Alligator mississippiensis: one gene and its partners. The protein of the gene in region 4 interacts with the protein of the main gene of each other region in a biochemical or structural test. Links are inferred from orthologs where the notes say so. Each region holds a gene or a part of one and is shown on either strand. Other genes may lie near its edges.

Region 1 (8,016 bases), on a different chromosome or scaffold from region 4:
TATAAGATTTACACCAATGGTGGGCATATATTCACCCTTACCCTGGTCATCCCACATCATGTTAGGCAGAGTGGTCCCTTTGGGCTGGTGAAAACTGGACGCAAAGTAATCATTAAGTAGATTGGCTTTTTCCTGAGTGTCATTTGTCAGCTGCCCCAGTTGGTTTAGCAGGGGTCCAATGTTGCCCTTGTTTTTCTTCTGACTCCCCACATATCTGAAAAAGGACTTTTTATTGTCCTTGATTCATGTAGCTAGTTTCAGTTTGGTTGCAGCCTTCGATTTCCTAGTTCACTCCATACAGGTGCAGACCACTGCCGAATACTCCTTCTTAGTGGTGTTTCCTGTTTTCCATCCTTTATAAGTCTTTCTTTTTAGACATAGGAGGTCCATGGGCTCCCTGTTGAGCTAAAGGGGTTGCTGAGCCCTTTTACCACCTTTCCTATAGGTTGGGATGGACTTCCCTTGTGCTCCAATTAGAAAAAATACAAAATCTGGTGATTTTTTTTTGTCCTTTTCATTTTTTTTTTTTTTTTTTTGCCATCCCAGGGTCTTTATGTTCTTAAATTATTTTTATTTTTTTTACTTTTTTATGAATGTACTACCAAATGAATAGACTGATTTAAAGCAGGTATGATTTATTAATTTATGGATATTTATTTTTCACATTATGATATGTGATTTTATAGTGTTTTTAACAGTATATTGTCATTATTAAATTATCTGCCCTCCTCACCCCTAATTTCGCACTATCCTGAAAATTTAAATCAATAAAGATCTAAATAAATGCTTAAAAATAAACATCAATTTTAGTCATTGGAATTTTTTAAAAAATCCAATTCTACCAAGCCTAACTATATGCAAGTCATCAGCACATAATACTAGAGCTTATGGGTGTCATTTGGTTCTTCAGATGGGGGTGCAGGTATGTGGACTGTGAAGCAGGAGGAAAGGAACTCAAAAGGAGAAAGTCAACTGCTGGAGAAGGTAGGTGTTAAATGAGTGAACATTTCATAATGTTGATATTATATGAAGCCTAGCAACTTTATGCCTAATTAATGAGTATTTTTGTGTGGGTGTACAAATATTGGAATGGATCCAGTGACTTGGCTTTGCTAGAAACCCATGTTGTGGCAAACTCATCTCTAAATGGTTGTATAATGGTACAACTCAGTGGCAACACATAGGGGGTGCACAGGGGTGCATGTGCACCCCCGGAGAATGCTGGTGCACCCCCTGCCAGGCCATGCTCCCTGTTTAGGCGACCAGCAGCGGGGCAGGCAGGAGTGCCAGCGTCCTCCCTGCAAGTACCAGCTGGGGAGTGGGGCCACCAGCAAAAGTGGCCAAGCTGCTTCCAGACGTGGCTATGGGACTTCTGGAAGTGGTGTGGCTGCTTTTGGTAAGTGTGATTGGCCACAGGGACACCTCCCCCCTACCCCGGTCAGGGCACGTGGGCCCCCTGAGTCAAGAGGCACCAGTTGCCCATGGTACAACCTGCCGACAGTTCCAGCTTGGGAATGGTGCGAGCAGGGCTAGCATAAGACTCTTTGCCATTCTAGGCAAATGAAATTTTGCCACCTTGCCTTTTTGTTCTTGGAGGACCTGACATTAGGCAGCCCCTTCTGCATCATACAGAACCCCCCAGGTTTTTCCCAGTAGCTGCTGCACCTAGAAGTGTGGCATGTGGTGTGGCTGCCCTGTCCTTGAGCCTCAGGAAGCTAGGCATGGCCCCCATGCCACTGTGCCCCAACTCAAATGTAGCTTCAGTGGCAGCAGTGTCCCTTGGGAGCCTGCCCAGAGTCCCCCATGCACTAGCAGTGGTGCAGCACCTTGCCCCTCAGAACAGCCCTGTGGTACCATGGCATACAGGGTGCTGAGTGGCCAGGCCATGGCAGCATCTTGCCAGGCTGACCTGCTGGTTCTTGATTCTGTTTATGCTGTCCCTGTCTGGCACCTACCTGTGATAAAGCCTTCTCTGCTGCTGTGGTGGCATCATGCCAAGCCTGGGCCCAGCCAAATGCATGCTCTGTGTGCCCATCCAAAGAAATGTTTTTCCTTACTCCTACAATTTGCCTTCCTAGGTGGCCATCTGTGCTGCCTATATGGCTAGTTTGGCCCTGAGTGGAAGCCCTCTGCCAAGAGACCCACACAAATGTGTCTGCACACAAACAATTCTTTCATATTGAAGTATCAAAACATATGAAAAATGAACACAAAGATAAGTTTAGCTACTACAAAATACAACCTTATCAGAACTTGTATCTGTATTTTCAAGACCACCTCCATGTGAAAAAGTTCATTTTGGGGGGAGAGAGAGTGAAAGCATATGGTCTTGGAGAATATGGCATGCCAACAGAATTAAAATGACAGACTTTTATTTATCCAGGTGAGATAAAGGCAGGAAATGTCCATATGAGTTCATTTTCCTCTGGGCAATGGGCTTGCTGTTTCTAGGAAGACTTATTGTTTTTAGAGGTGAGAATTGATTTAGTTTCTCTCACAAGGTCCCACTGTGAGGGAAAAAATGATCATTTGCCAAATTTCCCAATCTCTCTCTCTTTTTTAAAAATTATTATTATAAGTTCATGTTCCATTAAAAATGCAGCACTTCCCATCTCTGGTCTTTCAAATGTCAGCTGCCTACTGTCTTCCTTGTTACAATATTTTACAAGTGACTAATAGCAAACATTAGCTCCCTCATGTCACATTTCCTACAGAAGGTTCAAAGTACTCTATGAAGAATGGGAACAGTAATTATCCCCCTTTTACAGACCAGGAAACAGAAGCCCCAAGGGATGAAGTAAGTTGCCCAAACTGGTTGAGCAAATCAAAAGTAGTCAGGAACAGAATCCATACCTCCCATTTGCTACAGGAGAATTGCAACAAAAGAATTGCTCTAGTATTTTCTTTGCAACAGAAGAAATGCTCTAGTATTTTTCTGTAGTAAAAAAAAACAGTTAAAAGAACTGGTATTTTTTGAGAGGGGCCTTGAGTCTAATGAGGGCTGCTTTGAATCTAAAAAGGTTGAGAACCTCTTCATTAGACAGTGCTGCCTCACTTTCAGTAGCTTATGGTATGGCCAAGCATGCAGTAGAAGGGAAAAAAGGAGGATTTGGGTGTAATAGGCACACACTGGACCTGCCTCTGTACTGAGGCATGGGTGGCCAGGTTACAACCAAGCCAGTCGGCCCCATGCTGACCAGAGGAGCCCCACTGAATGGCCCAGAGCCCAGGGGCAACAGGCCAAAAATAGGCTGGAAAATGGAGACAGGAGGAGCACCCGCTGGGAGACCAGAAACAGCTCTGGCTGCTCTCTCCTCCACTGGAGCACCCAGGGAAGAGCTGCACACTCCCCCCTGCTCGAGCACACAAGGAAGTGGCAGATGGCCCCACACTTTTAGGAAGATGTGGACAGATTGGAATCAGTCCAGCAGAAAAAAACAAAAATGATTAGAGGACTGGGAAGCATGACATACAAGGAAAGGCTTAAAGAGTTGGTTATTTAAGAGAAGAGAAGACTGGGGGCAGGGATGATTTGATAACAGTCTTCAAATAACTGAAGGGTGAACCTTAGGAGAATAAAGATTGACTTTTCTCTATGGCATAGAGGACAGGACTAGGAGTAATGGCCTTAAACTGAAGCAGAGGAAATTTAGGTTGGCGATTAGGAGGAACTTTCTGACTATGAGGGAGGTCAAGCATTGGAACAGGCTACTTAAATGAACTGTGTAATCTTCAGCCCTTGACATTTTCAAGAGTACGTTGAGACGTTACTTGATTGGGATGGTTTAGACAGGGATGATCCTGTCTTGACCAAGTGCCTGAACTAGATGACCTTGTGAGGTTGTTTTCAGTCCTACTTTGCTATGTTCCTATAGCAACACTTCCCATGACTGGTGCAGCTCAAATCATGAAAGATCAGAGCGTGTCATGAAGGCACAGTCCAGTGTTGGGTGTGATGTGGAGCTCCAAGGCTAAATAACTATTTAAAAAAAGCATCATCTAAAGCAGGGGTGGGCAAAATGTGGCCTGCAGGCCAGATGTGGCCCACCAGGCCATTCTATCCAGCCCACAGGACCCCTAAAAAATTTAGAAAATTAATATTAATGTGGCCCTCGATGGCTTGCCAAAACTCAGTAAGCGGCCATCCACCCAAAATAATTGCCCGCCCCTGATAAAGTAACTGGCAAAGAAAAGCCTTTTTAACAATTACTCAATATTTATTTATTGACAAAGTACCCCAGTGTTTCTGGTGTTTCAGACACAATATAATCATTTTAGTTATGAGGCTCAAACGCTTACTGCTGAACAACTTTCCTAAATGATCAGTCATAATGTTGCACTTAAGTCTATAATAGGAGTTTTGTGCCTGCCTCAATAGAAAACAAACTAGTAAATGTTTAAAAGAGGAAAACCACCAATTATTCCATAGCAGCACACTATCTTAAATCCCCAATTTTATTATTTTGCTGGACGAGGAGTCTGAAGTATGCATAATAGATCACATAAATACAAAACATAAAGAATGACTGAAAGCAATTACATTATTGAACACAAAATTTTAATTTGTCACTGTTTTGCACATGTACCATAAAAATAAAGTAGTCCAAAACAGCACATATAAGGAGGCTTTATCTGATTCCAGTTACCACAAGGCACCCAAATATCACAAGAAAAAACAAAATTATAATACTGTATAATATACTTATTGTACTGTGTTGGTTATTCAGTATTTACTTTATGCAGTATATCTTTATTTTAACCCCTTGTATTTTTTGCAGGTTTTCCAGTACCAAATTTAAACCTAGTTTTGTTTTAAAGCATGTGGACTGTAAAACTGTGTAAGTACTGGAACTTCAAATGAAGTGTTAGGTGACTACTCCCATTCACAAATCAGATGCACGCTGCATTTTTAAGGGTGGATATTTGTTGCAATGAATCAATTAAAACCTTTTCTGACACGTTAAATGTGTGTTCCTAGACCTGTTTCACAGGTTTCGCAGAAGGGAAAATAACAACATGTGACAGCACCTAGGAGCCAAATGTACAAGAGAAGATCAGAGGTTTGCATGAGTGAGCTTGGCTTTCCAAAATACTTTTTGAAACACTATTAAAGGGACTGTAGAAATATCCAGCACAGAGCACCATGGTGGAGCAAGAGATTTTGCAATCGTGTAGTTATCCTCCAGAAAAATGTAAGTGTGAAAAATTTGATTTTTGATAAGAAATGGAGAAAATGAAAGAAAAAAATTTAGCTATTGTAGTTGTAAAAGTATGGGAAGTAGTAAAGAAGTCTTCAAATGAATAAATGTAGAAGCAATTAGCTTTACCTTTATGAACTTGTAAGCTTGATGGGCAAAAGAGAAGCGTTTTTACCTGAAGGACTCTTCTATGAAGCATTTTGAAAGTTTTTAAATGTAAAACTTGCTGCTTTTATTTGCAAACTTTATTCATGCTATTAACTGCTTCAGTATTGGAGACATGAACAGTGAGTTTTTGTTACCTTGAAATAACTTGCATAATAGACTGAAGCGCTGGGAAAGCATTTTCTAGCAAGACAGGGCATGAAAAATACAATATGCAGAGACTTTTTTCTTAAGTTGTCAGGAAGCTTTCTATCCCTTTGTCCAAATATCAGCTGAGGGTTATCAGCACTGTCTTAAATTCAGGCAGGAAACAGAAGTGAACTGTCACTGAGCTTCACTGCCAATTTAATATTTATTTTAATACAGGAAAATGAAACAGTAAATGAATAAAATATCGCTTTTTTTTCTTGTTTTTGGAGGAGGAAACATATGGGGGGGCTGTCGGTTTTTGTTTTGTTTCGTTTTCTCGTTGGTGGTGGCAGTGTTATTAAGGAGTTATCTATCCATTTTTGGACAAAGGCAAATATAATTTTAAGTACTGTTGACTAAAAATGTAGCAGAAAACCAAAAATTTAGGAAACTAATTACTAATGGGTATGGATTGAATAAGTCTAAAATGGAGCTGTTTAAGCAAAATCATAAAGAAGGGTAGAATTTGGAACTGATATGCCCGTAAACCTCTTGGATGCCCTGCCAAAGTGAAGCTTCAAAGTCAAGGCAGTTCCCTCCTCCTGAATATAGTGCTTTCTAGCTTTTAAGTGACTTGGCTTCTTTGTTTTGGCAACATAAGATTTGATAACATGTTATCGCCTCAGATTTGCTTCTAATAAAAGGACTGGTTTTCATCTGAAAATGAAGATGTAGTTTGCTAAATGTTCTACAGGGTTTTCCAGATACATGGAAGAATTTTTTTTGAGTGATTAACAAGATAACAGAGCCTCATCTCCATGAAAACACTGAATCTCCAGGAGTGGAAATTTATTGTCTATTTTGTCCTCTTTATATTCTGTACACTCCTCCTTTTACATGAAGGAGAACACAAGCTTGAAGAGAAGAGGGCAGCTTTTTTTCTTTCTCCCACTGTTTATTTCCTACCTGAGAGCATGCTTGTGGTGTGGTTCCCCTGAAAGAACCATGCCAGTGAGCTGAAAAAATAAAAACCCACTCCCTCCTCATACATATGACTGATGGTTATAGAGGTCTTGATGGAAAAGACATAGCATCAGACCTTCAGTTCTTCAGCACCGATCAGTACAAATGGGCTGTAAAATTGGATTCCTGAAAATTATCTCTGAATATCAAAGGATCAAGCTGTTCCCCATATTCCTACCCCCTGTATAGGAGTGGGGGCTGTTGCAAGGGAAGTATGATCAAAACACAGCTACCCCCAGCTGCCAGAACAGCTTCCTCAGAGCAGCAGGGAGCAACTTAGCACTTAATACCTGGGGTGCTCTGAAATGTTCTATGGGATCAAACCACTTCTGGCTGCTTTCTCGGAGGCCTCAAGAGTGGGGAGTTACAAGGGTAGCATTAATCCTCCTTTGCTGTCCAGATTGGTTCTGCACTGGGCCTTGCTTGCTTGGCAGAGGAACAATACCCTAGGAGGATTTTGATGTCAAATGACTGCAATGGACATTTTCTAAAATTCTTAAAGGATGCCAAGAATTGTGGTATTTGTGGCTATGGAACGGTAATGCTTTGTTTTGTCTGCAAAGTGCTCTTTTTCTATTCCAGTGAAATCTGTGTGCAGAAGCAAACAGTTGTTTTATTTTCAGATTTGTTGCAGTCTGTGTGACAGAAATGAAGTATACATAGTGCTTGTTTGTGGTGAGCTTAATTGTGTTCTCAATCTAAAATAACAGCAATATTGGATTGAAATCATACAACTGCTTTTTATGGACTATATAAGGTCAATGAAACTATTAAATTATTCCTCTGCACATAGTTTGTAGAACTTGGTGGTGTGTGTGGGTGAATGGGTAGGTGGGTGCATCTAGACATGCTATTAGTGAGATGCAATAAACTCTGGTGCACTTTGCACCACTCATGTGCTTTAAGGCACAGCATTTACATGTGCACCTGGAACCACAGAAGTCTCAGCCAGGGTGGAGCAGCCACAGACTGGCAGAAAGTCCTGGGGGTATGCCCCAGGCTCAGGGTGGTGGCAGAGGGCAGCAAAGTGGCCGGCTGGGGCACAAGGGTGCTATAGCGTGGGGCTAGCCTGGAAGCAGCCCCCACACTTTAGCACCCTTGTGTCCTAACTAGCCCATGTCACAGCCTACACATGTTCAATCACATGCAAATACTCTGCCCTAAGATAGTACTGTCCCTGACAGACTATGGCGGAGTTAATTCCTGTGCCTTAATACCAGTGCATGTATAGACTGTGACACTTTAGTGTGGACCTAATTAATCTACTCCACAGTAAAGCTCACATGTAGAAGCACCCAGTGTGTGTGTGTTTTCTGTCTCAGTTTTGACACCAAACTGAATCAGTACTTCATATGAGAAAGAGCTTATTGCAACTTGCTGTGTAGAATCAGCAGCAGATTGATAGAAGACTCTTTTTAGCAAGGCTTTGTGAAAGGGAGTGAACTTAATACAGGAATGAAGGCTTGTATTCAGCACAGTGAAGAAAATCAGGTCTATGATG
Region 2 (6,836 bases), on a different chromosome or scaffold from region 4:
ACAGAGTCAGATGGAAACTGAGCCTCTTGGAGAGAATTTAATCACAAAGAGGGAGCAGCCAGGGAGGAGCCTAAGCCTTCCTCGGGCAGCTCTGCAAGCTTAAAGGGAGCACCCCGGCAGCAAGGATGTGCTGCTGTCCCCGTGCCCCCACCTCTGTCTGGAGGCTGTGCCCGGGCACCGGGCATGCTGGCAGGTGGGTGCCGTCAGGCCGGCTTTCCCTCCAGCTGTTGCAGGGTGTCCCCTGCCTCCCCCCTCCCTGCCCCTGGAAGGTGCATGTCACCTGGCTCCACGGGTCCTCATGCTTCCCAGGCCGCCCCGTCAGCCAGATTCAAGCCCCCGCGCCGGGTCCTGCATTGCTGCAGCCTCATGCCAGGCACTCTCCGTTTCCTAGAAGGCAGGGTAGATTTGCACCTTCTAGAGACACACACACACACACACACACACACACACACACACACACACACACACGTATATTTATAGCACAAGCCTTTGTGTGCTGAAGCTCACTTTGTCAGATGCTGCAACTCAGTTTCCTGCCCTAGCTTCCAACTTGGGTTCCCCTGCCACAGTGAACCGGCTCTTTCAAGCAGGGGGAAAAAATCCCCCCCAAAACAGGCCAAATAGTTTGAAGACTGTCATGACTTGGGAGCCTAGCTGCATCTGGCTGGACGTGGCCCAGCAACCCCCACGAGGCACCGGGCTGCAGGCTCCCAACAGCAGCCGGCGTCAAAACCCCCTTCGTCGCTCCAGGATTACAGGCAGCCGGAGCCAGGGAGGAGAGGGGATGGGGTTACCCACATTGCCTTCGCAGGCAAGTGTCCGGTGTCAGGTCAGACGCTCTGCGCACGCTCCTCAGAGCCGGCCCTGCGGATCCAGGCACACATCCTCCCCCCAACACGCACCTGTCTTGCAATCCATCACGAAAAGAGCAGCTCGGACCCAGAAGGGAGGACGGCCCGGCCTGAAACACCCCGACGTGCTCGCTGCGCGGAAGCAGGGTGCAGCACCTCACGGCTCTCCCCAGGAGGCTGTCTCTTCCCCCGCTCGCGGGCACTCGGGTGCTGTCTGACAAACCTTCCCCTAGACCCTTCCCGTCAGGCTCCTCGGCCCGCATCAGAACCATCTTCTGGACCGAGCCCGGTGAGGTTGTGAGCGCTTAAAATGTTTCTTTAAAAAAAAAAAAGCCACTGGGAGGTCTCCCAGCATGACTAAAAACACCCAGACTCCTGCTCCTCCGTACAGGCTGGGATAACCCAACCGACTCGGGTGGAGTTATCACCGATTTACACAGCGCGGGGAAAGCAACCCAGGCCGTACGTGCACACACCTACACAACACGCTCCGGGAGTAAGCGGGCCGATCCTCATCTCCGTCCAACGCCAACCTAGAGGAGCGCCACCGGCCTGGCTCGCTCCGAGGCCCCTAGAGCGCACGTGCTGCTCACAGCGGACGAGGGCGCCCGCCGCGCGGAGGGGAGACGGGCCAGAGAGCACGCGGGCCCGCGTCCCCAGGAAGGCACACGCGCCTGCTCTCGCCGGTCGCTTCCCTCCCCTCTCTCTCCTCCCAACACGCCCTTTGAAGGTGAACGTGCTTCAGAGACCCGCGACGAAGACAAGCGCGCCAAAGCCGCGCTCGCTTCGCTTCGACTTCAACTGAGAGCGCTGGAGCTGGGCCCGCACCCTCGGCGCGCGGTGGGACGTGAGTGCGCGCGGGGTGCTCCACGGCCACGCGCGGCAGGGAGCGCCACTACCACCCGTGGCCCCGGGGCCTCCCCGCCGTGTCCGCGCGCACACGTCCTGCCGCCTCGGCGGCCAGGGACAGGGGGCACTTTTCAAGCCCACATTGCTCCCGCGCCCGGAGCATGCACACGCACGTGCACAGGCAGGGGTGCATGCACACACACACACACACACACACGCGCGCGCGGGCCGGCCCTACCTGCAGCAGCAGCAGCGGCGGCGGCGGCGGCGCGGGGCCATGGCGCGGCGGCTGCACCTCGCCCGGCTCGGCCGGGCCGGGCTGGGCTGGGCTGGGGCGGAGCTGTCCCCGCGCCGCTCCCGCAAGCTCCGCCCGCGCCTCGTGCCGGGCGAGGAGGGGCAGGGGTAGGGGCAGCGGCAGCCCTCCGGCCCGACTCCTCTGCTGGAGGGGCTGAGGTGCCCTGGGTGCCTCACCCTGCCACGCGGGAAAGCCTCCTCTTGCCCCGGGTGGGCGCGCACCTGACGAGCCCCGGCTAATAGCCAACACCTGCGCGCAAGGGCGAGCGCGCTCCCGCCCCCGCCCCTGCCCCTGCCCCTGCCCCGGGCCGGGCCGGGCGCTGCTCCCCCGCAAGGTGCTCCGGGGCTGGGTGCAGGGCAAGCCGCAGGCCGGATTGCTGCCCGCGTTTCTGGTGCGTAAGGCGAGGGATGCAGCTATACGTGGACCCCCGGTGCCATCTAGCGGGGCCTTGGCGCAGGGTGGCGGAGACCTGTTTTCTGTCTCAAACAAGAGCTTTTTATAGGGCATCAGCTCTTGAAAGCCTCCTCATTCATCTGCCTCTGGCCAGCCCAGGGAACAAAGTCACGCTCCAGCTCCAGCTCCAGCTCCGGCTCCGGGGGGGAGGGTGCCAAGGCACAGAGCAGGACGCCCCTCTTCCGGCAAGGACAAGCGGGGACGCCTCGTCCTGCATTCGCCGCACGTCCTGCTCTCGCTGCGGCACAAGAGGAGCAGGGCAGAGCGCCGCAACAGCGATGCCAGGGCGGTGCGTGGCGAGCAGCTGGCACGCCGGACACCTGTGCTTCGATGCATCCGTCACCTGCCAGGAGCGGTGCTCAGGGGAGTTTTGTCACTTCCTGAATTGTCGTTAGGAGTAAGAGTGAATAATAAGCTGCTGCAAAAATGGCATGCACGCGTGCTTCAGGGAGATACGCTGGAAGCCGGAGGCAAGAGCCAAGAAAGAAGAAGCTTTCACCTCCCTGTCTGACCTCGGACACCTCCAGGGAAGAAGCCGGCCTCGTCCGAGCATCGCAGAGCGGCCCTCTCGCCAAAGGGCCCTGAGGCTCCCAGGGGAATAAACTCCCACCTCTACCTCCCCTGTGCAAAATGAAGTTTCTTTTCTACCTGGGAGAACTCGGCCTCAAGAAGGGTGCGTGTACCCAAAAGTTTGCAAAGAAATCTTTTTTTTTTGCTACTGTTTAGTTGGTCTCATCATCAAAGAGCCCACCTCTGACCCAAGAGCTCCGTTTGTGCACAATGCATGCTGGCATCCTCCACGTGGCTTCCAAGGAGGATCTGCGAACCAGACGTGCCTTGCCTTGGTACCACAGACAGACCCTTGCCACTCGAGCTACCCAGCGCCTGTTGGCCTCTGCGGACAGCAGCTCCTATTTGGACTCGAGGCACCCCGTGCCAGGCTTACGGCACCCCTTAGAAAATGCCAGTGCTTACTTTTCACTCATTGCTTGACTGTGGAAAAATAATCAAGCAATTCTGCTGTTGCAAAGAACTCAGCAAGACCACAACAGCTCAGCATGTTCTTCATGCTCTGGCGTCCTATTCGAGGTCTCTGGGTTTCTCTTCTTGGCACATGTGACACCAAAAGGATCTCGGGGCCCCCGGGTTGAGCATCACGGTGCTGGAGGGTCACCTTGCCAGGGGTTTCCCTTGCCATTTGCAAAATGACAGCAGAGAGCAGGCGCGCGCTGTCTGCTGCTGGCTTTGAGGGGGCTCGGATCTCATGGGAGACAATCCCAGAGACCTGGCACGACAGCAGCGTGCACGAGACTCGAACCCAGCACACTGGAGTTTGGCTGGAAACGAGCTCTTGCAGCCTCTCCGCTGGCTTATTAGTAACATGAAGCGGGGAGTGGGGGCAGACTCGTACTGATCGTGGCCTGAGGAAGCACTCGTGAACCTCCCGAGTGAAAGAAGTGAGCCCAGCCTGCATGGTCTCCTGGTGCTCGTCTCGAGCGCGTTTCCTCTCCTCTGTGACTAGTGGCCATGAACTGGAAGCAGGAGCCGGAGACAGCTGGAATCCAGATGTTTCCATGAGGCGGGGGCACTGCAGAGCCCAGCTCCGAGGGGCAGCGCCAGGCACTTGCACCGAAACGTAAGAATAGAGGAGGAAGCGCCGTGCCATGCGGGAGACCCGGCTTTCCAGTCCCCGCTGCGCCAGAAGCGGAAGGGAAAGACGGAGGGTACGTTCCTGCCTCTTGCTCCCACTGAGCTGGCCGCCCCGGGTAGCAGTCAGGCTCCATCGTAGCCTGTCGCAAATCTCCCGCTGACGTCGGGGGGCTCAGGAATTCCCCCACCGTCCCAGGGACAGTGAGTGGGCAGCCAGGCCCTTGCAGGCCAGCAAGCATGTTACCAGCCCACCCCTCTCCTCTAGCTCACTCTCCCAGCCGCTTGTCAGGAGGTGGAGGCCAGTAGCTATTACCGGACGCCCCCAAAAGCCTCACAGCATTGTTATTTATAGCCCACAGGCCCTTCCAGTCCAGCTTGCTGCGGTGCATGCTGCACAAACCCAGGCCAGTCAGTGACTCAGAAGTCTCTTCTCTTCGCTGGGTGTTTAAGCTCCGGTCTCTGCGTAATAAACCCACTGACTCTCCAGTCATCCAGCAAAAGCAGGAAGTCCTGACCTCACATGCTCTGGGTAATGTTTAAACAGCCTCCCCGAACCACCACCGCTGACTGCTGAGCCTGCCTTTCCTAACACATGTCCCTGGCATCATAAGTGCCTCCCGGTCATCAGTGTATAGATCACAGCCTGGGGGGCAGGGAGACGCTGGTCCCCTGTATTCAAAGGCTGCGCCTATACTGCACAGTGCCGCGGAGATACCCCAAACCTGCCGAGGGCGTCTCGTGGTAAATTAGCCCCGGCAGAGCCCTGCTCTGCTGCGAAAGTAGAGCTCACTCCTGCATCCCGACACGGCGCTGCACTGGGCAGGGTGAACGCGCCTTCAGTGACTGGCCCAAGGTCATACAGAAAGGCTGTGGCACAGCTGGCATGAGAACAGTCTTCCCTGCCTTGAAACCTGGGACAAGGGAACAAGCCGTTTCCCCTCGCCCATGACCTCAAACTGCTCAAAACGCGAATTTCCCAGTTTTTTAAACAATTAAAATTCCCAACTTCAAAATTTGGAGTCTGACATTCCCACTGTTAAAGCAACCCCCACCTCCTTTCCCTTCCACTTGTTCCCCAACACGGCAAAACATGGGGCTCTGAAATAGTTTGCAATTTCCATCAATACCCGGACAAGGTACCGCTGAGGCCTGCCTTGGAAAGAGGTCTTGGGTGTCAGGCCCCAGAGGGGATGCTGAGGGCGAAGAGATTCTTGCAACAATGCCATTTTCTCTCGGCTGCTTCAAAAGACTGTTTTCCAGACGGGGCGACGCAGAGGTGGTGAGCGCAGGATGAAGCTCAGGGCACAGAGCTTACAAAATCACCTTAATAAAAATAACCTGTATGCCCACGTCCCCATACACAGTGTAGCTGCAGCTTCTGAGATCCACCTGTGCCGGGCCGTGGTCTCGTTCCCAGGGGAGATACTGATTTCAGCAGTCCTGTTTGATTTACACAAATCCGAGCAGGCAAGGCTCGTGCGTGCCAGCCGTGACTGCTGCGGCTCCGCCGGGGAGCCGTGAAGGAATGGACTGAGATAGGTCTATCTACTTACTTGCCACGTGTTACACCACAACGCATCTCCACGTTCCCCAGCCAAAATAAGCAGCACAAGTGGAGACCAAAGTGTGCAAAAGCAAGCAGGCTGGGTGTGGACTGATGTTTCCATCCCTAGACAGCTCCGTCTGGATTAAGTTGATGGGAGGCCATCAGAGCCAGAACAATAGGTCAGTCTGCACAAGAGAGGAAACCCTCTTTAATTAATGAGCCAGCCAGATAGCGGCCTGCCCAGGGGGTTGTGTTTAATTAGTTTGCTCTTCCGGCCTGCTTACTTACCTTTGTGCTCGGCTTCTCAGTATCAAGTCGCCTGGCTCCCCGCAGCCCAGACCGAGGGCGCGGTAGTTTAGCAAGGGGCGTTCGTGTGGGAGGTGACGAGGTGCATGCATTGCCCTATTTCATGTTCATTTACTACGGGGAAGAAAGGGGGGTTCAAACAAAGTCTGCGGGCAAGGCTCAACCACCCCCGCCCTGTGCTGTGTTCTGCGGTTTGCTGCATGGAGACCTCGCGCTTGAACCAAACTCAGCTGTGTGGGCAAAGTTCTCCCACGTACTGGTGTCAGACTGGCTTACGGCCGTACAGTCAGTCAGCTGGCACCGGGAGTGACCGATCTGATCATCCTCAAGCCCTTGCTGGAACGAAGCCTTTTGGGAAGACACCAAACCCTCCTGCTGCCTTTGCTGCAGAACAGAGACACGCTGCCATCTCACACGCTCAGACGGGCGTCTGGGTAAAGACCAAGTCCAATTTCTGCAGGTGATTCAAAAAACCCAGAAGGTAATGCCTTTTGGGATTCCTATCCCTTGTTTCGCCCTCCCTACACCTAGCCAAAGTCCCTGACCTCTGCAGAGCAAGAATCACCTCGATCTTCACATTTTGTCCAACACTGCTTAAAGACAGCAACACTCATTTCCACGGTGGCTTATGACTGGCGTGCAACTCTCACGCCTGGACCCGCAGACACATTTGTGTCTACTTTCACATGCACAAACCTGCCTATTGGGGTCAAGGCACTTGAGGTGCCTCCATTATTCACAGCATTGGGTGCACTGCTGTGTGGCTGGGCTCCCCTGGCACTTGTCCGGTGAGCAGTAGCTGGGTGGTTAATGGTTTTGTGTTCAGGAATACATGCAACAAGATGTAAGCGTGTAAAAGGAGTCAGCTGGAAGGGAAGAACACCAT
Region 3 (7,960 bases), on a different chromosome or scaffold from region 4:
TCCAGATCTGGAGTGAGCACAGTATGCAGCACGCAGGGTCATCCTGCAATACCCGACGTGCTGCCTGTGGGTGACTGAGATCCATGGGCAGCATCAGGGGCTGGATAATACGGCTCTGTGGGCTGGATTTTGACCATAGTCCATATTTTGGACATATCCTCCACCCCCGATTTACAGCACATTCATTCACTTACTATCCATCTTCATATTCACTTTTTCTGAGAATAATTCACAATTACAACTCACCAAAATGCCTCTTCAGTACTTTGCCCACCACTAGTCCAACATGACTTGCGGTAATTACTTGGGAAGTACAAATGTAAATGAGACAGAATTTACCAGTGAGAGTTAAACAACATGGTAAGAAACCCTGTGGCTGGTACTTTAGTGCCTTTGTATTTGCATCTTCACTTCTCTTATACTCGCATAAAAAGTACAAATCTAGTTACCATGAAAAATATATTACATAGCGGACAATTTTAATGCTGGCTGAAAGTGAAGAGCAACCAAAAGAGGGCATGGAGGCTGTTGCCATGATGGACAAACTCTTGGCCAATTCAAAATAAGGTTACCGATATATAGATGATTCTGAAATGTTTACTGAAGTATAGTGTCAGCTCTCGTAAAGAAAAATGCTACTGTACATCAAATGTTCACTCACTATACAAACAAGCAGTTCTGCGTTATGCATAATGCCCTTTTCTACCCAACCAAGGTCTTGGAGGGAGTAACTTCACTGAAGAGAAGAGCCAGTGGATAACGTATTCTTTAATATTACATCTTGACCTCTTCCTTCCAGAATGTGGCCTCTTTTTAGGAAGACTTTACACCCTAATGAAGTCACTGAATTTCTAATCTTTAGTACAAAAATTCATAGTAAAGATTTAGACAGCTTTGGGTACAGTATGATTTTTCTTGTAATGAGTCCAAACTGCAGTATTGCAATAGTTACAGGAAGCTCAGCAGTTCAACATAACTGACAACCCAACTCTTTTTGTAGGAAGAGGGATTTATTTCTATGGTACTTTTGCCTGCATATTAATATAATTGAAGCAAATCCACCCATGCATAATTTGAGACCTCCAAACAGATACCAGATGCACATTTGTCTGGATCAAGTCTAATAGGATCAAAATAGCAAATGGGTTAAAAGAAAACCCAGTCACAGAACAGCACCCAACCAGCAACTGAAAGCAAGTAAAGACTGCAAAGGAGCGTCACCAACGAGCCACATTCCTCCACTGACAAACTTGTACAGAAATGCTGGACATCTCCATCCAACTGCTCCTGCAGCTGTGTAGGAGCATCAGTGAACGTCCAGCCCAGGCATCTTCCTGCCAAAGCACAATCGTTACCTATACACCATTTTTTCAAAGTTTTAAGGAATGACATTTCTACCACATTCCTTGGAGAACTGCTTCCTTGCTTGCTATCTCGACCAAGAAGCTTTTCTTGACAGCTCCAAGCTTTCCTCCTTCTTCAGGCACTTATTCTTTTGGACAAGAATATTTGACCCTTAGTAATTAAAGGCAAAGCTAAATCTGGCTCCAAATCTGATCAAGAATCAATTTAGGTGAATAGGAAGGAGTAGAAGTCATGAGCAGATGCAAGCAGTGAGAATTTTAAACTGCTCAAATAGAGGAAGGAAGCCAAAACCCCATTTTAAAAAAGCAGCACTTGGCCTATCAATATTTGCTTCTATGTTCCCTTATGATTCAGCTGTACGGGTCTGTACTGGATGCAAAGAGCTGGGAACTGCCTCACACATCAGGGCAAGCACTAGCTGACCAGTCACACTAGCACAGCTGGGGCAGGGGTCACATCAACATGGGTCAGCACCAGTTGCAAACGCCACCCTCCCCATACAAGAAATCAAACTTTTCCAGCCCTAAGCCGCAGGCAGGGGGATGCACATGTTCAGATACAGAGCCCTTCCACACCACAGGGTCAGATGGACAACGGCAGGTCCTTCAACCCCCCACCATAGGGAGGCTCGGCTTTAAACGCATGGAAAATACAGTCCTAAAAAACAGGCCAAGGACCATGAAGCCACCACCTAGAGCAGCTCTGCCAGGTAGGGTTGCCAACCCTCCGGGACTGCCTTGCACGCTCCAGGAATTAAGATATAGTCTCCAGGAGACTGCGGAGAGTCACCTGGGGGGGCGATAAATGATAAGGCATTCATTAACATAAACATTAAAATGTTGAATCCGACTTATGCAGCAGTCCAGTGGGTTTTTAAAACGTAAGTTGGTAAAATGCGCCTTCCCGAGTACAGCAGATCAGTCATGAATGTCATTACATCATGTGATGAGTCAAGCAGGGCTGCCCACCGCACTGCCAGGGCTTAAAACCGCCCCAAAAGGCACAGGCAGGAGAGGGCCGCAGCAGGGGGAAGCCGGCGGTGCCTGGGCCGGGCCCATGAGCAAGAGGCAGCACCCAGGCCCCGGGCGGACCCGCTTCCAGCGCCGGCCACGCCCTCCCCGCGGCCGCAGCGGGCCGGGCCGGGCCCATGGCAGCGCGGCGCCGCCTCACCTGGGCGCACCTGGACGGCGGCGCGGAGGGGCCATGCGGGGCGGGGCGGGGCGGGGGTCCGTACCTGGGCGCGGGCTCGATGAGCGTGGTGGTGTCCAGGTAGTGGATCTTGTAGAAGTCGAGCAGCGCGGGCAGGTGCTCGAACTCCTGGTCGCCGATCTTGAAGCGGCGGTTGGGCAGCGAGTTGATGATGTAGTGCGAGACGCGCGAGTTCTCGGACACGGACAGCACGTAGTCGCCGGGGCAGGTGGACGAGTCCCGCACCAGGAACATGCCGTGGCGCTGCCCCTGCAGCCGCGTCTGCGCCTCAGCCCGCGACACGGGCCCCACGTACCAGCTCGAGCGGTCCGCCGAGTCGAAGCGCGCGGCGGACGACATGGCGGAGGCGGCGGCACTCACAGGCCAGGCCGAGGGGCGAGTGCGGCTGGGCGGGCCGGCGGGTGGGCCCCTGCGTCTCCCTTAGCGGCGGGGCGTGCGCGGCATCCTCCCCTCCCCTTCCTCTCCCTTCCCGCCCCTTCCTCTCCCTTCCCGCCTCGCGCTCCGGCTGCTGCGCGCGCCGAGAGCCGGGCCGGGCCGAAGGGCGCTGCTGGTGCCGGCTCCGGGGCGGGCTGCTGCTTTATCCCGGCGCTCGCTGTCCCCGGAGCCAAGCGCCAAAATGGCGCCTTTCGTGGCCGGGGGGAGGAGGCGCTGCCCCGCCCCGCGCACGCGCCCTCCGCGGCCCCCGGCCCCTCCCCGCGCCAAGCGCGGGGTGCGGAGGCCGGGCCGGATCCCCCTCGCCGGACACCGTGAGGCGCTGCGGCCCGCGCCCCGCGCCCCCCTCCCCCCGCAGGGCGCGGCGCGGCCGGGCGCGGCCCGGGGCCATGTGGCGGGGCAGCCCCGGCCGGCGGCCATCTTGTCCGCGGACCCTCTGGCTGGGTGTCCGCTTTCCCGGGCCGGCAGCACTCGTGGGGGCTGGGGCGGACCGGCCTCCCGGGGAGGGTTGCCGATACCCTAGGAGGGGCCGGCCCCAGGAGCTGCGCGGGGAGGGAGGGACGGGGTGTCCGTAGGGCGGCCATCGTAGAGGACTCTCCGGTTGTCTGCTCCTATGTTGATACGAAACCCGATGCCTTTATGTGCCCTGTTTTTAGGCCTTCGCTTCAAGAGAAAAAGAGAGGAGACATAAAGGCATCCGGTTCTGTAGCAATAGAGGACAACCGGACTGTCGTCTGTGATGGCCACCCTACCCCCACATCGCCTGGGGGCCCAGGGTTGGGTGGCGGACGCTGGCGGACCCACGGCTGTTAGGGTCACGTAGCATGAGCGCGCGGCAATGGGGCCTGGAGCCTGGGCACGAGAAACCAGCCGTGGTAAAAGCTGGTAGCTTGCGCCCTCCCGGGCAGCGAGAGGCCCAGTCGCTGCCCTCTGCTTTGTCGTGGCCCAGAACGTCGCCGCACCCACATGCCTCGGTGGGTTCGAAACCGCCAGACCAGGAAGCCCACCCTGAATTTGGGGGCTGTGTAGTGATTTTTCTGGAGTCCGACTCACGTTTCCTTCAACTTGTGGGGTTGGCGCCCTGGCCGCAAAGAAACACGGCACTGAAATGTCAAACGGCTCTTCGCATTAAGAACTGGACTGAAGACAAATAACCTTTCGTTACTAATTGGACCCTGTTCAGGGTTCGTTCCAGCTTGAATACCGCATCTTTCTTTCCCTTGTACCCTGTTGCTGCTGATTGTGCTCCTATGTTTGGCAAGTTTCCCAACGTATTTTGCTCTTTCTATGGCAACTGGTGTAAAGCCTAAATATTGTAAGTTGGAAAATAGGGGCTGTAATTTTATAGCACTTTAACATGGGCCTAACAAAGAAAAACTTAACAAAACAGGAACTTATTTTTAAAACCTTAAATTATCCAAGAAACAGCTGCACACAACAGCCACGCTGATAGCAGGGGTCACAATTTTTCTGGCAAAATTAGGTAAAATTATGCTAGTTACTTACAGTATAACTGTTAACTCATAAATAGTCCAGCAGGAATCCAAATCTTATTACTGAAACTTTCATAACTGTCTAATTCATGTAAGGTGGAAATTGCATCAAATCCAGAACCTCATTTCAACTAGAGTATCCATACCAGCCTTGGTATAAAAGGCTCCCAAAGACCCCCCCCCTAATTTTACATGTACAGGTATCACCGTGTCAACCACTAAAATACAGTCATCTCGCAGGAGGAAAATGACATCTGTAACAGCCTACAGTAATATGTACTAACTACATTGATTAGGCCCAGGTGTGAAGAATACCAATTACAGCTTCATATCATTACAGCTTCATATCTATGCCATAGCTCTCTTGGAAAAGATGCCTAATAATTTTGCCTTGGGTTCAACTCCTATTAAGAGTTCACAACTCTAGTTGATTAGATTGTGAAATTCATAAAATTGCCTTTCACCAATTGAAACATGGGCTTCAGTCATGTCTCAGTGTAATTATGGCTGAAATAGGAAACTTGAGAAAGCATTTTCACTTTATAATATTTTAGTTAAAAGCATTGTTGCTGTATTAGTGCTTCTAAAATACTTGATAAAAAGCATTATACACACAACTCTATTACAAGCATTATGAAATTAAACCTCATCACTGAAGTAGGCAAGTATTATAATCTCGGTTTTACCAAAGGGAAAACTTGAGGTAGAGAGAGTGGATATGTCTAAGGCTACAGTGATTAAGTGGCAGAATCAGGGACAGTTAAAAAACAACAGTGAAGAAGTTAGTGTTAATTTCTTACTAATTCATCTTTCACTTTCTAATAAACCAGATCATAGCAAAGGGATGTGATAAGCTAGTTCAAGATTCTATTCCAGTTTTGTCTGGACTCTCTTTAGTTAGTAAAGCAACTAAAATGTCAAGAGTAAGCAATATTTTATTAGAAAACATATGTTGGTCTAGTTGTAATATCTTTGCTCTGGATAGGTAGCGTGGGAACCAATCTGGAATTTTGTGCTGTATGGAACTGAACTACTTCCTACCTTGCTTTCTTGAGTGAGAATGAAAGAACATCATCTCTTAGACAGAGAAGGATCCAAAAATTCTAGTCCAGAAGGGACTACTGCAAACCTGCATTTTTTACTTCCTGCATACACACAGGCTGCTGGACTTCTGTGAAGTAATTCCTGTTTCTAGTTAAACAGCTGTAGCTGAATTAGATCCTGGTTTAAACTAGACCCAGTCATGACTTGCTGACAATCACATAACCGGTGAGCTGGGAGTGACAACAGGACAGGAGAGGATGGAATTCTTTATTTTGTTTTGGTAGTGAACATTCAAAATCCTTTGATTGAAAATAAAGATGATGAAAACGGATAAACCAATTTTGAAAGTTGGATTTTTTGGTGATGGGTTGTTTTGGAAAAGGGAAATGGCAGGAGAAGCAGTTCTGGAACAAAAGCGGAGGCAGAAATAAGCATTTTTCTCTTCCAAATGTGAAACCCTGAAAAAGTTCAGTAAACAAGTTCACTAAAATTTGTGCAAATCCAGCAAAAATCCAAACAGCAGGCTGCAAACTGTGTTAAACAGCTATGGCTTCAGCCAAAGTACTGTATAATGTTATGTTGCATACTTGAACATAATAGGGAATCTTAACATTGGACCTTTGCACCCTGATGGTTATGGCAATACTTTCAGTACAAATACCAGTGGGCTGTGGGCTTGGTACCTCTCTGATTTAAAAGACAGTTTAGAAATGTCAAGTACCTTTTTGTTATAGCAATGCAAATAGAATGAGGAAATCTGAAAAGATTGTTTTCATAGAAGCAGTTTAGCTTGTGTAATATCAAGGGTCCCAACTACTGTATGCACCATGCTTTTCTCACAATCTTTAAAAATGCTTTTACTAAGTCATCTCTTCACTTCTTGAACCTTGTCATTGGCTTCCTCTTCCTGCATTAGGTTTGACCTCCTTATCCTCACCTTCAAGATATGATCTGGTTCTTACCCACATCTGTGCTTTTTTCACTCGCTTCACTGCTGCCTTCATACTTTTCATCCAACTCTGGGCTTGAAGCATTCTGTCATACCATTTCCTGCATCTGAACCAGATTGTCTTCCTTTTTTCAACAGCAATACCCAGTTCTGCCCCCTTCAAATCTCTCTTCAGTGACTCCCTTCTTTCCCATCTCAAACTATTACTTTTATATCATCCCTGTTCTAAATCCACTGCCTCCATTTTGAGGAAAGCACATTGTAGCACACCCTGGGTTTGGGCTCTCTTAACTGTAACATTTTCTAAGGGTTTAAAAGGTGCTTTGTGCTAAATGGAGCTGTGTGTCAGGATTGTAAATGCATAGGAACAATCACCTCTCTAATTCTGTATTTTCACTCTGCAGTTAGGGGTAAGTGAAGCCCTGTCCTTAGCATTTAGAGCTTGAAGCCTGACTTTATGTTCTTGCTGTCATTACAGTTATTGCAGCAGAAGTGGATTTCCTGACATTTTGAGATGTCCTTAGTAAATAAGTAGAAAAGAATATATGGGTTCAATGATGAGACTTCTGCATATTGAACATCATTACTGTTCTGGGGACAACATTACAGGAAATTAGATAAACAATTGAATAAACTCAATTATTGACCTTCCCAATATATCAGTAAGATGAACTTTTCAGTGTTTAATTACTTGATCTGACCAGAATAAAATACTTATACTTTATTGGTCTGAACATTTAAGCTCTTCCACAGGTTTGTTTTCCGATTTCTAGAAACGTTTGTACTATGCCATTGTCACCCAGAACTCCCTGAAAAGTAAAAACACAAGGCTGACATATTCAGGAAATCATAGGAATTAAAATAACTGAAAACTGGGTTAAAACAAATAGAACCTTTACTAGGGCATGCTTTTCTTTCAGAAAGTGCAAGTCTTATTTGAGCTTGTAAAGGCAAGGCCCTCAAAAAATGTCTCTCCTTAGAGATCATACCATCAGTGATTACTGAACACATCAACCTGTACCATTTCCTGCAATTTATTTCTGGAAAGGATGCTTTTTTTCCCCAGTAAACAAGAACTACAAAGGGCTTACCATTGCATGTAATATGTGTTTCCAGCTTAAAGCTAAGACATTTTATTATGAAACACATGCATTTGAAAAGATCCACTTATAACTGATGTGAGCCATTCCTAACCAGCTTGGTTGAAAGTACATTAAAGTTCTGTGTTACTTACTAAAGCAAATGTGCAGATAGATGAGTCACACACCATGACTTTAGAACATACTGTTCATATCTTAAAAAGGAATTGTTTGGGGCCATAGTCGTGTATGTTTTTGCCTAAAGAAAATGTATAACCATTTTCTTTAGAACAGACATTTTCAGAGTAACCTAGCAGTATTGTGTCATACCATCAATTAAAACTGTGGCTGAATGCAACACTTGTTAATGCATTTGCAGTGCTTCTAGG
Region 4 (7,429 bases):
CCTGCCTGGCTGGGGGCAGTTTCCATGGAGACCCCAGCAACAGCCTCACTGTGATAGTGCAAGGCCAGGGTTTCCATGGAGACTGGCCCCAGCAGCACTGGCAGGGTGCAGGGCCAGGGCAGAGCTGCAATTGGCTGCCTGCATGCTCCAGGCAGGGGTGTGCAGGCAGTGGATCACAGCTCTGGCCCAGCTCCTCCCAGCACCACTGCCATCACTGCCTGCCCCACACAGGTGGCAGCAGCTGAGCTTGCCCCACTCTCACCCGCAGCACAGCCCCTCCAGGCCTCCCACCAGGAAGAGTCTGGCGCTGCTGGGGTCGGTCTCCACCGAAACCCTGGCCCCTGGCTGCTGCTGGGGTCTCCATGGAAACTGGCCCCAGCTACTTGGGCTGGGGCTTCTGGGAAATGGAGTCCACTACTGACCGGATCTGGACTGCGACCCAGACTTTACCCACTCCCATTTTAGGTAAAAATAGGTGCAAACTTTTCCAGGCAGACCAATCCTCAAGTACCACTCTGTGTGTAAAGAAGGCCTAAGAAAGATAACATGGGTGCCTTCATGCCAAATTGGCAGAAGGTTTTGATTTGAAACTATCCAGGCCTAAGTGAGCTATGGGTCTTCCATCATGGAAACTCCTTTCAAAACAGTGCTGTAAAATCACTGACAAAGAGAGAGCCAGTTGCAATGCTAGATGGGACCAAACTCTTTGTCTTCAAATCAGCTAACATCCTTTACCAAGCTCACTCTGGGCTACCCTCCAAGATGCAACTGTGTTTTAACCCTCCCCCCCAATGTAAGAGGCTCCCCTTCCCTTCATTCTTCCTTCCCAGTCCTTGCACTCCACTTGCTTCTGCTCACTCACACACAGACATCTCAACCAAAGCACAATTGCTGCAATTGTAAAGCAGGGCCTGGCTGTTATCAGGTGCAGATTACAGAGAACACAGAGCAATAAACTTGTTTTCCCCTCTTTCTTTTCCCTCCCATTTTCAAACTGCTGCAAGAAAGAGAGGGAGAGAAAAAATAAATAAAACAACAACAACAGATGGGTTTTTTTTCTTCTCCTCTTGGCTGCCTGAAGGGCTCGGCAGAGGCTTGAATGGAGTTCATTCTCTAATAGTCCCTCCTTCATCCAAGATTTTCCTCCCCGGGGTGTAATCTGTCAACCCAACTCCTCCCCCAAACCACCCTCCCCTGCCCTGTGCTCTCCTTCAACTCAGAGACAGAACTGTGGCAGTCTATTGTAGCCCGGATGACAACTTCCAGCTACATGAGGAAATGAAGTGAGGTCTGCCAAAGGGAGCAAGCTCCTCATATTAGTCTTTTCAGGCTGGGGACAGGCACCAAGCAGTAAGCACCAAATTCCCAGCAGCAGCATCATGTCAATATCCACTCAGATCCAGTTCGCACATGTACTTTAGAGACGTTCCAGGACATAACCAAACTACCCTGTGCTAGTGGAAACATTTAGGATTTTAACTAGCGGGCTCTTCTCATACGCATTATCTTAAGAGTATTAACTAGCAACAGTTCCTTGTACCGAGAAACTGAAGAGGCTGCTCTTAAGTTGGGATACAGTATATTATATAGAAGAATAACTCTGAGATACTGTACCCCTCAGAAGCCTTCTGCCCGCCACGTTCAAAGACCTTAGAATATGAAGCCTCACAGTCTCCTGTATTTAAGATCCGTTGTGCTGTTTTAGAGCAAGGGAAACTGAGGCCTAAAAAGGTGAAGTGACATGTCTGAAGGGGTCCAGTTGGGTATGGCACAGATCCCAGTATGGGACCTGGGAGTCCTGTCTCCCAGTCACCTGCATTGACTAAATTAAGCAACCTGCAGTAAGGAAGTGACAACTCCTTGGCTCAGCGCTCAGTTACATTTCAGTGTGGAGGGCTGAAGTTTAGAAGGCAGAGCTGGATATGGGACCAAATTCAGCCTTGGGGCAAAACCACTACGAGTCCTTTGAAAAATCAGGGGGAATGGCAACATTATGAGAGCATCATCCACACTGGAATTGGCCCATTTGAGTGCATGAATGGCACTTGAATGCTGACTCCCTAAAGAACTCCAACAATAAGCAGCAAAAGTAACTGATCTGTCTTGGGGCTTTTAGTCTTGTCACGCTCATGTCTGGATAATCTGAATCAACGCAGGCTAACACCCTCTATTCAGTGAGCTAGAACTACCCTCTCACATAACACTTTATGGCTGGGGTGGGCAAAATGCAGCCCAGGAGCCAGATGTGGCCTGCCAGGCCATTTTATCTGGCCCGCGGGGCCCCTAAAAAATTTAGAAAATTCATATTAATCTGCCCTGGGCTGCCTGTCATGCAGCCCTTGATGGCTTGCCGAAACTCAGTAAGTGGCCCTCTGCCCAAAATCATTGCCCGCCCCGACTTTATAGGATCCTTTTTCTTCCTGGCAAGGTAAGGAGATGGGGCAGGCTGGAAGGCATCTTTCCACAGATTTTCAGGCCATAACGGGCCTTACTGATTATCCAAATTTACCTTCATTATCCTAATTAGGACTTTTCCATGGCATCCAGCCCATAGTAGTACCAGTTATTTCCTCACCCAGAAGCAAAGAGAGGTCTCTGCTGCTCAGTTTCAATCCAATTTGACTTTTCACAAAGTTTTGCAGTGCTCAGATTCAGGATCTTGATGCTGGTTCATCTACCAATCAGGGATTGAATAGGCCAAGAAATCCATCCTGGGAGCCTCTCAAGCTCCACCCACAGACCAAACTCCTCCCCTTGAGAGGTCAGAACAAAAGGCCACTTACAGATCTTATACTTTCACCCTTCTCCTTTCTCAGATATCCTTATCAGCAGCAACATAATTAACAGTGAATACACAAAGTAAAATGTATCAGCCCTGATCCACAGACTTCAGAGCTAACACCAGGCAGCAAGGGGCAGTTCACACCCCATGGATCTTTTGTTTCAGACTTTCAGCAAATTCAAGCAAAGATCAGCATTTATTTACAGTCCAGGATCTGAAGACTTTTTCACATTCCCATAAACACCTCTTAAGGAAAGCTTGGATTCTGGAGTGTAAGGAGGTCATCTCCACATAATCTCCTTGTGACAACACCACCCTGGCAATTTACAACTCTTATTTCTCCTATCAAGAAATGCCACTAATTAAGAAATATCAGGGGCAGGAGTGGTGATGTGAGATGCTAAAAACTCCAAGATCAGACTATTTTTCTTACAGCTTGAAGGAGGGACAAGGCGGCAAGCACCAACAGACAGTCTGATTTCTGAGGGGCTGAAGTTACTGATATGGGAGCTGGTGCCATCATATTTAAGTACCCCACAATTTTCCTTGCTAATTATTACACTGCAGTGTGGCAGGGCAGTGCCACTGTCCATCTATACAGAGTGGGGACTGGATCACAGTGCATCTACATGGCAGATTCTCCAGTGTATACATACCCAAACTTGCTGTACAGGAGCAGCTGCACAGAGCTCATTGTGAGCCAAGCTGTTTAATGGTAGTCTGGGTATCTTTGCACGTCAACGTAGGCTCAACCCTTACGTGACTTACCTACTATAGTCTCACACTGGAGCAAAATAGGGAACCTGGCGGCCACAGGACACTGGCAGCCCACATCCTCTTGCTTTACATGAGGTAGGTTAAGGTGTTTGTGGTGTCTTTGGGCAATATTCCTTGCAGTTGTGCAGCTGGGTTGATTGTGTGGTTTTAGGAACAGGCTAGACAAGGACTTGTATGGGATGGTTAAGATAGGCAGGGGGTTGGACCAGATAGCCTCCAGAGGTCCCTTCTAGCCCTGTCTTTATGACTCTTGGGCTTCCTATGATAGGAAGCCCAAGAGTATCCTAACACTTGCACCTTCCTTCCCTTTTGAAGGGGTTCAGCACCCTCACAGCCAACTGAAGATGATGACAGGCTGGGATTCACAGATAGGTGTAATGCCTATGCTTGGCATTACACCTATTCTTCAAAGGATCCTGGTGTTAATTTGGGCCCAGGGCCCAACCCTTCCCAGTGAGAGAAGCCTTTAAAAGCCCATCCCCTTCAAAAGCCTTCAACCCCCCTGGAAAACCTAGGTACGTATTTCACTGGTGTCTTGGGAACTGCACTCTTTTGGAAATCCATTGCTCAACCTCAGCCTGCAGAATGGCAGTGAAACCCATCTGCCAAGCCTCTCTCCCTTACACTCTCTTTTGTCTTTCCCTGGAGTGATTCCTAGAGCTGTTTGCCAGCTTGGGGGTACTAGAAAAAGAGATTTCCCCCCCACCAAGGCATAGGCAGAGATCAGCCCTTCCAGGCTGCAGTGTCATCCTATTTCTTCACCTCTCACTTGACTCAGATCTGTGCCAGGGCAGCCCGGGCTGGGCTGAGAAGGAACGAAAGAGGCAAAGAGCAAAGTGAAATCGGACTGACCCTGAAGCGGCAGCACAGGGAGAAGCTGCTTTCCCAGGAGGCGCACAATGGTCTTGGCACAGAGCAGGCACGGAGTGCCTTACCACTCCCAAGGGAGTTGGAATCCAGCTCAGGGGCGCGCCGCACGTCCCGAGGAGGAAGTGCAGTAGCAAAGTGGTGTGTCTCTGAGCTTGCAAAAGCAGGGAAAACACACGCGCGAACTTTCCTGGCCGGACCCCCCTCTCTCTGCCAGAAGCCATGGGCTGGAGTCTGCAATGAAAACGATGATCTCTCCCAGCAGCTGCTGCTTCTTCATGGGGCTGCTTTTAGCCTCTTTTTTGCCAGGCTTCTGGAGCACCGAAGGTGGGTCAGATTGGAAACGGAGGGGAGGGGGGAAAGAAATGGGGGAGGGGGTTGGAAACTGGAATGGGACGCTCAGGAAAGGGAGAAACTTCAGAGGGCCGGTGGGATGCGAGGGAAGGAAGGCAGCAGCTCTGGATCTTGAATATTCCGGACTCCAGCACCCCCGGGGGGGGCGGGAAGAGTGGGTGGAAAGCAACCCCCCAAAACTTCTGCTAAAGTTCATGGAACTCGCGTGGAGGCAGAGATCAGACCCACGGGAAGAATCGCGGTGAAGTTCCTCAAAGATTTAGCCGGGAAAAGCAGAAAACAAACTCCCCACCGCGAAGAGCCAAGTGCGAGGGGAGCCGGGAGCCGGGCAGGAGAAGAACTGGTCAATTACTCGAGCCGCGAACTTGACCAGGGCCCGCGAGCCCTGCAGTGATCCCGCCCGCTTCAGCCGCCACTCCAGTGTTGTTTCGTGGGGTTCATACCCCAACCAAAAAGGGCGATCGCTGCTTTTCTACCCCCGTCTCACTGTGCCGGCACCATGCCACAATCGGACGTGACCGTGAAGGCAGCGAGCGAACTGCAGTCGCTCTGGGACTGGCCGCGGTGCGGGGCCGGGAGAGAGAGACGGAGTTGGTTTTTAAAATGGTTTCTTTCATTCCTTTGCTGCTGCGCTGAGGCAGAGGGTGGCTTAGACATTTCGGATCTGTGGAGGGAGGTTTTATTGTTTGGTCGGTCGGCGATTTTGCTTCTGGAGCAGAAAAAAAAAGCAATATAAGGCAGGCACTAAAGTTTCAGGCTTGGCACTCTTTGCTCTCTGCGTGCGGGAAGTAAGGGGAGTGTGGCTAACTGGTAGGAGCCGGCTGGATCGCCTCTCAGGTGCTGGATGAGCTACGCGGCTCGGCACATACACTTGCATTTAGCTCGGTGTCCGTAGGGTCGCATCTGGGCCACTGGATAACCCAGAGAGGAGTTTACTTTGCAAAATTGGGAGTGTGGGGTTCTAGCTGGGCTTTGCAGCAGGCTTGGAAAGAGGTGTTTGTTTAGCAGGTTACAAAACACCTGATGGGGAAATAAGCTAGATGGCAAAGGTGTGGGTTCTCTGCATTGATGCAGATGGCAGTGTTGTTACCACCTCACCTGTCCTACCCGCTGGGTCAAGCCCTTTATGGCAGCTGAATGCTGTGAGGCTGCGGCCTTATGGCTACAAGTACATTTTGTTGGGGCAATTCTCACCCTGGGAGAGGAGAAAGGCAATCTAGCAGGTAGGGCTGGGAAGGGGAAAGGGGTGGGTAAGAATTACCTCATGAAGGCAACAAACAAGTCATGAGCATTTTCTGATTCCTTAGCTGGGTATGGGCAGGACTGGCAGATTAGGCAGATCCACTTGATGCCCATTTCTCTTAGCTCTGTAATACCCTCGATTTAGTGATAACAGGCCCTGAGCCTCAAAGAATAGTTTTTTGTGTCAGACCTGGCATCCTGAAGTGCTTCACAGACTTCACATGTACAAGAATAACCTCACTGCATGGTGATGCAGCCACTGCTGGGGTGGAGCTGCTTCATAGTCTAGACTTTGCCAGGTGTAGTCCTGGCAGAAGAGCCTTACAACCAGCCTTCCCTATGTCCTACCTTCTCTGTGCTGAGGGAAAGCTCTGCCTCTACTTGCGCCAGGCTAGCTGGAACTCGTGGAAGGAGTCTAGATAGTCTATATCCTTTAGCAGGCTGTGCCATGAGGCTGGCCCTGGTGACATGGTGGTCACAGTCCAGAAGAAGGCTACCCAAGAGTTTGACAGGAAGTAAAAGGAAAACTCCTTCAAATGGAATCCACAGGAGGGAGCAGGATTTCACTTGGCAGAATTTATTTGGTCAGGACACCTGCTCTTGAAGGGTGGAGCAGAATCCCACAGGATTCCCATATTATATCAAGTAAGGGTAAATTAGCTTGATACCTCAGCTGAAAGACAGAGCCTATGCCCCTGCTTGCTATGGTTCAGAGGGAGAGCTGCCTAGTGCCTACTGCTGCAAGAGCACTGTTTGGGTTTCCCTGTGGGTGTGTCTGTCTGCCTCTCTCTTTCTCATACACATTCTCTGTCCACACCCCATCCTATTCTGCTGGTGAGATCCTAGCAAACACCTGATAGTAAGTCACTTTCCCTAGTTCACATGCTAACCTGATTTGTCATGTTTACCTGGAAGAGAATATCTTACATGAACAGCCACATCAAATCCCCATGAAAGGGAACCCGTGTGGGGAATGTGGGATATTCTGGTGAGATCAGAATGACAGGGTTCCAAAGCAAACACCAGCACCATGCTGTTAACACTCCTGGCATTAAGAAGCCTGATCTGAGATTTTTTGGAAGGTCTTTGCAGAGGCTAAAAGTCACATTAGCTCCAGTCCTTTCTGGATGGAGTTCAGCTTGTGTGTGGTCCCATATACAGGTTGCCGTGCTCATGTTCAAGTATCCACAGCTCAGGCACCTGTAGAAACTCCCTCAGTCTATAGCATTACAAAGTCACTGCTGCAAAACTACTTTAGACAGTGGGTGGTCTGAACGAACTGAGCCTGACCTGTAGGATGTGGGGCAGGCACACAGGCCATTTACTTTGGGCGTGACTGCAAGGTTTACATGTAGTTTGACCCCTGGGGTGAATCTCTTTTATTTATGTATGTGCATTGTCTGAAGT

Evidence for each region.
Region 1: of the proteins of ERBB2 (region 4) and PTPN3, one has a biochemical effect on the other in vitro, tested with the Homo sapiens proteins (2 studies listed by IntAct, with this or other methods). The link is inferred for Alligator mississippiensis from reciprocal best matches to the Homo sapiens genes ERBB2 and PTPN3.
Region 2: the proteins of ERBB2 (region 4) and SH2B3 form a complex in vitro, tested with the Homo sapiens proteins (2 studies listed by BioGRID and IntAct, with this or other methods). The link is inferred for Alligator mississippiensis from reciprocal best matches to the Homo sapiens genes ERBB2 and SH2B3.
Region 3: the proteins of ERBB2 (region 4) and CRKL form a complex in vitro, tested with the Homo sapiens proteins (2 studies listed by BioGRID and IntAct, with this or other methods). The link is inferred for Alligator mississippiensis from reciprocal best matches to the Homo sapiens genes ERBB2 and CRKL.

Annotation. Positions count from the first base shown.
Region 1 is NC_081828.1:77,596,249-77,604,264, reverse strand, and holds the start of PTPN3 (tyrosine-protein phosphatase non-receptor type 3), read left to right. Parts: upstream 1-5,007; 5' UTR 5,008-5,143; coding exon 5,144-5,192; intron 5,193-8,016.
Region 2 is NC_081833.1:3,531,315-3,538,150, reverse strand, and holds the start of SH2B3 (SH2B adapter protein 3), read right to left. Parts: upstream 3,004-6,836; 5' UTR 2,503-3,003; coding exon 1,939-2,502; intron 402-1,938; exon of another isoform or gene 281-401; intron 124-280; exon of another isoform or gene 1-123. UniProt on the Homo sapiens protein: Links T-cell receptor activation signal to phospholipase C-gamma-1, GRB2 and phosphatidylinositol 3-kinase.
Region 3 is NC_081833.1:18,949,712-18,957,671, forward strand, and holds the start of CRKL (crk-like protein), read right to left. Parts: upstream 3,015-7,960; 5' UTR 2,914-3,014; coding exon 2,600-2,913; intron 1-2,599. UniProt on the Homo sapiens protein: May mediate the transduction of intracellular signals.
Region 4 is NC_081827.1:165,333,970-165,341,398, reverse strand, and holds the start of ERBB2 (receptor tyrosine-protein kinase erbB-2), read left to right. Parts: upstream 1-4,426; 5' UTR 4,427-4,665; coding exon 4,666-4,753; intron 4,754-7,429. UniProt on the Homo sapiens protein: Protein tyrosine kinase that is part of several cell surface receptor complexes, but that apparently needs a coreceptor for ligand binding. Essential component of a neuregulin-receptor complex, although neuregulins do not interact with it alone.